Tribolium castaneum: one gene and its partner. The protein of the gene in region 2 interacts with the protein of the main gene of each other region in a pairwise test. Links are inferred from orthologs where the notes say so. Each region holds a gene or a part of one and is shown on either strand. Other genes may lie near its edges. The genes, in order: Hmg-2 and BRCA1-associated protein.

Evidence for each region.
Region 1: the proteins of BRCA1-associated protein (region 2) and Hmg-2 interact in a two-hybrid assay, tested with the Homo sapiens proteins (2 studies listed by BioGRID and IntAct). The link is inferred for Tribolium castaneum from reciprocal best matches to the Homo sapiens genes BRAP and HMG20A.

What each region holds. Positions count from the first base shown.
Region 1 is NC_087396.1:21,976,491-21,980,426, reverse strand, and holds Hmg-2 (high mobility group protein 20A), read right to left. Parts: upstream 2,626-3,936; 5' UTR 2,393-2,625; coding exon 2,203-2,392; intron 2,152-2,202; coding exon 1,889-2,151; intron 1,357-1,888; coding exon 898-1,356; 3' UTR 672-897; downstream 1-671. UniProt on the Homo sapiens protein: Plays a role in neuronal differentiation as chromatin-associated protein. Acts as inhibitor of HMG20B. Overcomes the repressive effects of the neuronal silencer REST and induces the activation of neuronal-specific genes.
Region 2 is NC_087401.1:15,927,521-15,931,782, forward strand, and holds BRCA1-associated protein, read right to left. Parts: upstream 2,672-4,262; 5' UTR 2,580-2,671; coding exon 2,522-2,579; intron 2,476-2,521; coding exon 2,241-2,475; intron 2,194-2,240; coding exon 2,029-2,193; intron 1,988-2,028; coding exon 1,812-1,987; intron 1,765-1,811; coding exon 1,266-1,764; intron 1,217-1,265; coding exon 1,067-1,216; intron 1,018-1,066; coding exon 834-1,017; intron 787-833; coding exon 685-786; 3' UTR 634-684; downstream 1-633. Other genes in the region: uncharacterized protein LOC663019, read right to left, coding at 39-230, 370-525; ankyrin repeat domain-containing protein 13C, read right to left, coding at 3,242-3,257, 3,304-3,551, 3,606-3,755. UniProt on the Homo sapiens protein: Negatively regulates MAP kinase activation by limiting the formation of Raf/MEK complexes probably by inactivation of the KSR1 scaffold protein.

The DNA of each region.
Region 1 (3,936 bases), on a different chromosome or scaffold from region 2:
CAAAGGATTTTTGGCGTGAAAGTGCAAACTATGGAATAGTTGGAAATATTAATATCGCTTTAACTCGACTTTAATTATTGTTTTCTACACGCAATCAATTAATTTGACACAAAAACATGTAGTGCTGCTTCTGATATAAATCATCAAACGTGTCCATAAATGCACTTTGGGTTAATTAAACGGAGCCGCGTAAACATTTTTTACACGAATTTTTCTTCGTTTTGACCCGAAAAATTATTTTTGGAGCACAAAAAATTGATTCATAATGTCGGAGGTAACAATTTAACAAAATATAAAACACAATTTCGTAAATATCTTGCGGCATTTATTGAATATTCGTGCAGTTAAACAAAACAGAATAAAATTTAAGGAGTGTGCTTAAAAAAATGCGTAAAATATTATTTTCAGCTCAGTAGAGATCAAAAGTTGTTTTTTTATAATTCATCAATTTCCCTTGGATGTAAATGAGAAAAATGTATAATTAGAACTGAAGAAAAAAAATATTAAAAGTCAGCAATCTAAGAATCAATAATTTTTTGCTCTATTTTTTGTTGTGGAGATTAAATGTTTAAAATTTTTACTACCTGTTAAAACATAATTAAAGTAGAACAATTTCCAAAGGAATTAGCTACAATATTTTTTTTGGTGATGGGAGTAAAAATAAAACCAGATTTCATAAATATCTTGCGAAATTTATTGACGGAATATTAAATACATTAAATTAATTGAACTACTAAATACTTAGTAGTAATTACACAATACCTAACGTATGAATCACAGGACCATCATAACTAATCAAATCATAAAACCCACTCTGAAAGTGAAATAAAACTGCTATATAAAAAATTACGTGATCTTCTTAACTTTTCGTTTTCTCTTGGAAGCGCGACTTGTTTGTCATCCGTTGAACTCAAGCCGCCCGACAATATTCCTAACAGTATGTAAAAGGTTCGCGTCATGACTACTGTTCTCCAATAAAATCGAATGCAGATTTGTCATGTACGAGTCGATATTTTGCTGCGTTGCGACTTCTTTGACCCCTGGGAGCTTCACACCGGAAAAACCATTGGTTAACGTGCCCCTTAAATGATCCAAATGTTTTTGCAAAGACGCGTTATTTTTCTCCTGCTGCGAGATTTCAGACTCGAGCTTGGCAATGGCGTCCTTCATATTCTCGATATGTTTTTGCAAAATTGCGTTTTGTTGCTCATAATCTGTGTTCGATTTACGCAACTGGCGCAGTTCCGAGTCTCGCATTTTGTTGTGATCGAGAAACTCCTCCGTGAAGATGGGGATGTCGAAATTACCGAAATCCATATCGGGGATTTCCTTGTTGATGACCGGCTGAACGGAGCTCTGAAAATAGAAATTTCGGGGGCTTCCTTCCGACAATTACCGGGTGCGGGCACAAACAGAAAGCGCATCACCAAAACCGTACAATACAATTTTGTAGTTTTTTGTAATCTTCAAGATATATGGTTTAATTTTTTTCTAATAAAAAATTATGGACGTTTTTAGTGTATTCAATCAACTAGAAATACTTATTTTTGCTAGGGCCAAAAGACTTGGAACACCCTGTTAAATCTCTGTGATTACATATCACTTTTTTTCTACTTCTACAGATTTTTCATTACGTTCAAAATTTGTGACCAATCGAAGTGCATTATGACAACCACGTGACAACTTGTAACCAATGGCAATGTGCCACGATGCAATTATTACGAGTGACAGTAGTCTGACATTAAAAATAAAACTGACATTTTTAAAAACTGTATTTTTTTTAAATAGTGTATGCAGTTGTAATTGCATGGTTATTAAGACACGAGCCGCATGTACGGTTTTGGCCCGCCACGTCTTTGCTGCAACACGCGCCCCCTTAGCAACTCACCTTGCTCTCCTCCTTGCTCTCCTTCATTTTTTTCTCATTCTGTTGCTGCGTGAATAATTTATAAGCTTCCGTCTGCTTATAGGCATTGTATTCCCGCGTGTACCGCTCCCTGTCTTGCTCTGCAGCATCCAAATACTGTTGTTTTTTATCCGCCGGCAAATTCGTCCATTCATTTGCCAGCATTTTCGTGATTTCGGCGAACGACAAGGTGGGGTTGGCGCTCCGCACGGTCTCCCGTCTGTCATTCAAGTACCGCACATACCCTACAACCCCCGTAAGACACCTCTGGACGCCCCTCGAACTGAAACACTCACCGGTCAGCGGGTGCCGTGGGGCCGTGCTGTCTTTCGGTTTCTTCCGTTTCTTGGCTTTGGCCACTTTGGGCTTCTGCTGCGTCGTGTTGTCGGAGCTGTCGGGGGCCTTCTCGTCGTTGGACGTGGAGGCTTTGGGGGGCTTCTTACCATTTTCCGGCGGGACATTAGCCACTTCCTCGCTGTTTTCCATTTTACGTCCGGTTGGGAAGATGCTAACCAACGTGACAGTTGTTTGTAACTGTCAATGTTTCATTTGTTTTGGGGGGCCACGAGCGCTCCAAAGGGCCAAACGCGCCGAACCGCCCCATTTAATTCAATTAAAAGTCGGGCCAATTGGGCGAAATTAACAATAAAACGCGCGTTACTTTGCCATTTTGCAGGTTCCTGTACCGGGTTTGTGGCTCGATTGGTAGGTGGCGGGTGCGGGTAACGTCAGAATTGACTGGCATTGTCGCCAACTTCGAAACTCCCTAAATTTTGGGTTTGGAAACCAAACGATAGGTTCCAAAAAGTTGTGTTATTGAGGCATTGTGTTACGAAAGTAAAATTCCGGGTGCTTGTAAGTAGGAAAAAGCGCGTTTTTTGTGGCGTTTGTCGGTCACAAGGCGTTTTTTTGTCGTGTTTGAAAATCGCGTTTTTTGTAGAAATTCGTCTCCTTTGTGCAGTTTTTGTTTTTTTTTGTGTGATGGTATGAAGCACGGGTGCCCCCATGGATTATAGAGTGTTGGTTGTGGTCGGGTAAGTGTGCAAGGCCTTGGCGTTAAGTTAGGTTATCTTCCTGCTCGAGTTTTGGCAGCTGCTGTGAAGGCTATTTATTTTGGATTAATTTATGAATGTGTAAATGAATGACATGTGTATTGATCTGTATATTTAAGTCTGACGCTAATTTCGGCACCCCCGTGCCATTTAAAAATACACCGATGCGCTAATGAATGTCTTGAACACCGACCACTCGGGGGTTTATGTAAAGTAGAGGCAACTTTGGCGGATTATTTATCTCTGTGATAAAGGGGCGCAGGTATGCAGATTCGGGAAAAGTGAGCGATTTCGGCTTTCTACCTGGACTTGCACCATAGCCATCCATCCGGAATTACACCTAAAGGTATAAATAACACTTTTAGGGGCTATTTTCGGAAAACGGCAGCTTTTGGCGGCAAATATTTCGCCTTCGAAAACACCAACGCAAACATATTGCATAAAGGGATTAGTCAGCGAGAGGTTTCTCAATTTTACATTAAAATCACTCGCGAAGATTATCAACAGGTGTAACAATTGTTTACAAAAACGCTCATCTAAACCCACATTTCACGCTAGTTTCAATAGAGAATCAATTGTGCGTGGGAGCAAAAAACTCCAAAAACATCATTAATTAACTTCATATTTTGTTTCGTTCTTCAGTTTCTTTTTTTCAAATTTTGTGTTTATTTGTTCAGTTGTCCGTGTTAAATTTGAAGTAGGTTTATCAGATGAATAAGTGGAACACCTGTACTGTTTTTTTCCTTAAAATTTAATAAAAAAGTGGCCAATTTTTCATTTATTTTCACCAGACTACCTGTTTTGATTTCAATCTTTCCAATAGTATTTCTAAAAAGCATTTTCTTTTAAACAGATACTATTGTTGGGCTCTTTTTATCTTGTTTTCCATAAAATGTTGGGAAATAATTTCGTTCTTGGCTGAAAAACGTACCAAAACGCTCGAAAAAGAAAATTTTATTTTACAATAAAGTCCAATTT
Region 2 (4,262 bases):
CTGCGGCTGTAAGGGGGCTCCACACGTGCCAAACTCACCGATAGGTATTTCTCGCATTGCAGTTTGAAGCCCTGGATGTCGATGTAAGTGTTGCGTGACTTCGCCCCCGTGAGTAAGTACGTGTAGAGCTTCTCGGCCAAGACGGGGTACCGCGGGAACAAACACTTGGTGAAAACATTGAGGGAAATGCCGGTAATGTGCTCCTCCTCAAACGATTTGTCGGCCAAAATCTGCAATTTGAATTCAAAATGGCGCCTAACCTCAAATGCCACTACCAACATGACGGCTTGTAATTTAATAACCTATCACTAATTTGCGTTTTTGCGGGGCAAAGCCACACGGGGGTGGTTTATTGGGTGTAAAACTCACTTTGGTTAGCTTCTCCACGGGTAGAAGTGCGCTCGGCTTGTCGGCCTGGATTTCGTGGTTGGAGACCGTCCGCGAGATGCTTTTGCGCGAGCCGTTGGACGTAGGCGTGGAGTCGCCCGACTTGCTATGGGGGCCGTGTCCGTGGTGGTTCCCCATCTTGCGCCCCGATTTTTATCACTGACTCATTTTAGGTTACTATGGCGGTTGGTATCGCTGACTGGTAAACAAAACAACCACCAACCGCACCGCGACAAAAACACCAAATTGATTTTGCAAATATTTAATTACACTTAAATTAACAATCACATGAGACAATTAACGCTTTTTCTTGCCTTTTCGTTTATTTTTCGCCGGCTCGGCGCCCACTGTGATCGTACCGCCGGCAATGTCATCGCGATCGTCCGATTTTTCAATGACCTTGAACGTTAACAATTATTTAATTAATTAACGAACGAAATACCGACTTGTTTAGCGTCAATAAAAAACATCAAGTCACGGACTTGTTCCCTCAATTCGGTTATTTCCTTTGCCATGGTGTCTTTCTCAGCCTGTAATTCACCCAACTTGGTTTGCCATTGTTGCTGATTGTTGCGCAAGGCTTTCCCCAGCTGTTTTTCCTCGTTCAGATCATTTAAAGTCGCGTTTAACCTAAAGAAACAATAATTAGTGACGTTGTTTGGGTCAGGTTGGCAGCCACTTGACGCTCTGTTGGGCGATTTTTCGCTCCAAAGCCAACTTTTCCTTGGTCAAATTAGCTATGTCCGTTTTAAGTTGGCTATTTTTCTCGCTTAATTCGAGCACCTCTGCCTTAAGTTCCGAATTTTCGGCGTAATAAATACTATCAAGTCTGCAAACAATAATAAGTGACATAAAACCCACGACAAGGGGGCCCTAACTGTGCTAATTTATCCTCGAAATACAAGCGTTGCTCCTCCAACTGCGAGGTTAACAAATAGGTGAATTCGAGTTGCACTGAATCGACTTTCTCTTGCGCGCACTCCGCCTCGGAAGGGGGGCCTTCCGAAGGCACCAGTTTCCCATCTGCCTTATTCTGAAGTAACCTATGTACGAAATTATCGCCTTTGTAGTCCCACACGCGGTGGGACCCCAATTGGAGGGCGTAACAGTGCCCCGATTCGCGGTAATGGAGCGCCGCATGGCCCCCTTGGTACCGCCCACAGCCCACGTGACCACAGATAAGACAAATCCAAAGTGCGTCGGCTGATTGGGCCACTTTTCCGCACTGTTCACATTCGGAACTTGCCGCCTGTTCGGGGCTTTGGACACAACGGCACACAGGGCACGTGGAATCGCCCCACTGCTCCAGACAGTTGGCGTGGAACGCGTGATTGCACAAAATCGTCAAAACACCGTCAACTGACTCATCCATGCGCTCTAATAAATAAATATTTAATTTTTTCAATTGGCTTTGGGGGGTTTACCGAGACAGACGGGGCAAATGGGGAGCTCGGTGTGGCCGGGCGGGGGCACCCCATCGTGGGCCCACTCCACGCGCGACACCCAAACGATCCGGCAGATATTATCCGGTTCCAGACTGTTAAAGGGGCCCCCATTAAACGTGACGTAAAACTCCATAGCCGAGTCGTGCGTCCTAAAACTGGGGGCCAGGCTCAGTGACTAGGTCAAGGGGGCACTCACGTTAACAGAGCCATGTACTGGTTGGGTAAGGAGTCCCGGAGCACCCGAATGTGGGCAATGTCGGCGTGACAGGGGGCTGTGAACGCCAATAGGTCATGACAGGTCATTGAGGTTGGCACCCCTAGCAGACAAAGCGTCAACGCCTCCTTCCTATCACTTAAAACACTTTTTCCCCAATAATTAATTTTCTCAATTAAATACAAAAAACCTACTCTTCTTTATATAAATGCAAGATTCCTTTCGTAATTTCGACAAAGGGATTGCCGCTGAAAAACCCAATTTCGCTTTTGGGGTCTTCGGGCTCCAAGGGGGTGGTCTCGCGGGAGCACACCGGGAGGAGGCCCCAGTCCTCCCGAGGGCTCTCCAAGCGGCTGGGGAACGTCTCCACGCTGATATCGCGCGATTTGCGCCCCGTTTTCGGCTCACTTGAGGCCTCAGCACCCCCATCTTCAAACGACGCAATTAGTGAGGTTAGGTGAATTGCGAGCCTTACCAGCGCTCGGGTCGTTCACTTCCACCCGAAGGACGCATTTGGAGACCAATTCGGACATTTCGCGTGAATTTTGCACCAAAATTTGGTATACAACGGGGTATTATTGTTGCAACAGTGGCGCCATTTGAGTGACACTAATATATAGGGTGATTGAGGGAAATTGGAATGAAAGACGCGTCCACAAAATTAAACATTTTATTGCGAAAATGGAACAATTACCTACTGTTAATGTAATAAATACAAGTAATGGCGATGATTAGTAAGCATAAATAATACGTCAGCCTGTGGTAAATTAGTCTTGTTCTGTAATTGACATTTGCGACCTAACGAATAAATAAGTAGAAATCTTCCTTTCCTGATATGTCGGTGCCGGCAAACACTAAACATCCAACATGAATACACAAGTAACAACGATTCAACGAAAAACACAACAAATTTCCGTGTTAAAACCTAGAATAAAACAAATACCCTGCTTTTGGAGAGAAAACGAATCGAAATTTATTCCAGATAGACTAGACAGCTAGTCGAGTAGATGCTGCCGAGCGTGAACAGCATCGGGACTTCCACGCACACGGTGGGGCTCTGCCCCCCTCCCGACTCCTTTGATTTTCTTAATTTACCGACAAACTTCGCCTTGGCCAGGAGACGTCTGTCGTACGGCAGGAGGAACACTGGTTTTTTAGTATAAGTTATTTCGAACGAATTCAACAATTCAGGACGTCATAAATCGGGAAATCTGCAAAAAATCATTATTATTATTATTATTTAAGAGGCGCCATCACCTGGTCGGATCCTCTTTATAGTTTTTGGGAGTTTCGAACAACTCTTTCGGTATGTTGTTCCGAAACTCGAACTGCTGGAATGTGATTTTTGCAGTCACTGTCGGCAAGATGGGAATCTCGACTTTGACGGGGAAACCCGTCGGGAGTTTGAATGTGATGAAGTCACGCAGCTTGGAAAAGTGTTTGAAGGGGGCGATGACCTCGAGGACGTTTAGTAGCATTTCCACCGAGAGGGGAAAGTCCGAACTCTATATAAAATTATTATTGTACCAATTTTTTGGTAAATAAAATTATAATAGTACCATGGCTATCGTGGCCTTGAAGGCTTTTGTTGTCTCTTTGTAAACTAGGTCGCGGCCAAGGCGAGGATAAGAATTCACCTCCGAATTTATGTATTCTTGCCACGTGACATTTTTTTCGGGAGGGGGGATAAGGCTCGTGCGGCGGACCGGCTAAAAATTATAAAATTAACAGTTAAATTTAAAGTGTTGCTGCAGCGTTGCCAACTCAAAATATTAAATTCCACAGCGAAATCTCACAAATAACTACATTTCTAAGTCAAAAATGTTCTTAAACAGTCAAAGGAAAGCGACAAAAACACAACTTTACGCTTCATTTTGAAAAACTGAAACTTAAAATGGTAAAAAAGTACAAAATTTTGAACAAATTAGATTTTTTTTTCTTATTTTTGACGAAATTCGGTAAAAAAAACGAGTTAAATCGGGTGAAGTAAGTAGAATAACATCAATTTTAACTTATCTTTGTGTCAATATTAGCAAAACTTTTCGAATAAAAATAGTTTTGACTTAAAAATTGTGTTTTTTTTGACTTAATTTAAGAATCTTTGGTCAATTTAAGCAAGATTTCACAAAAAAATCGGTATAAACGAACGAAATAACAAAAATTTCAATCAAGCTTTGTGTTTTTTTCAACTATTTTTTTTTCGTAATTTAATTTTA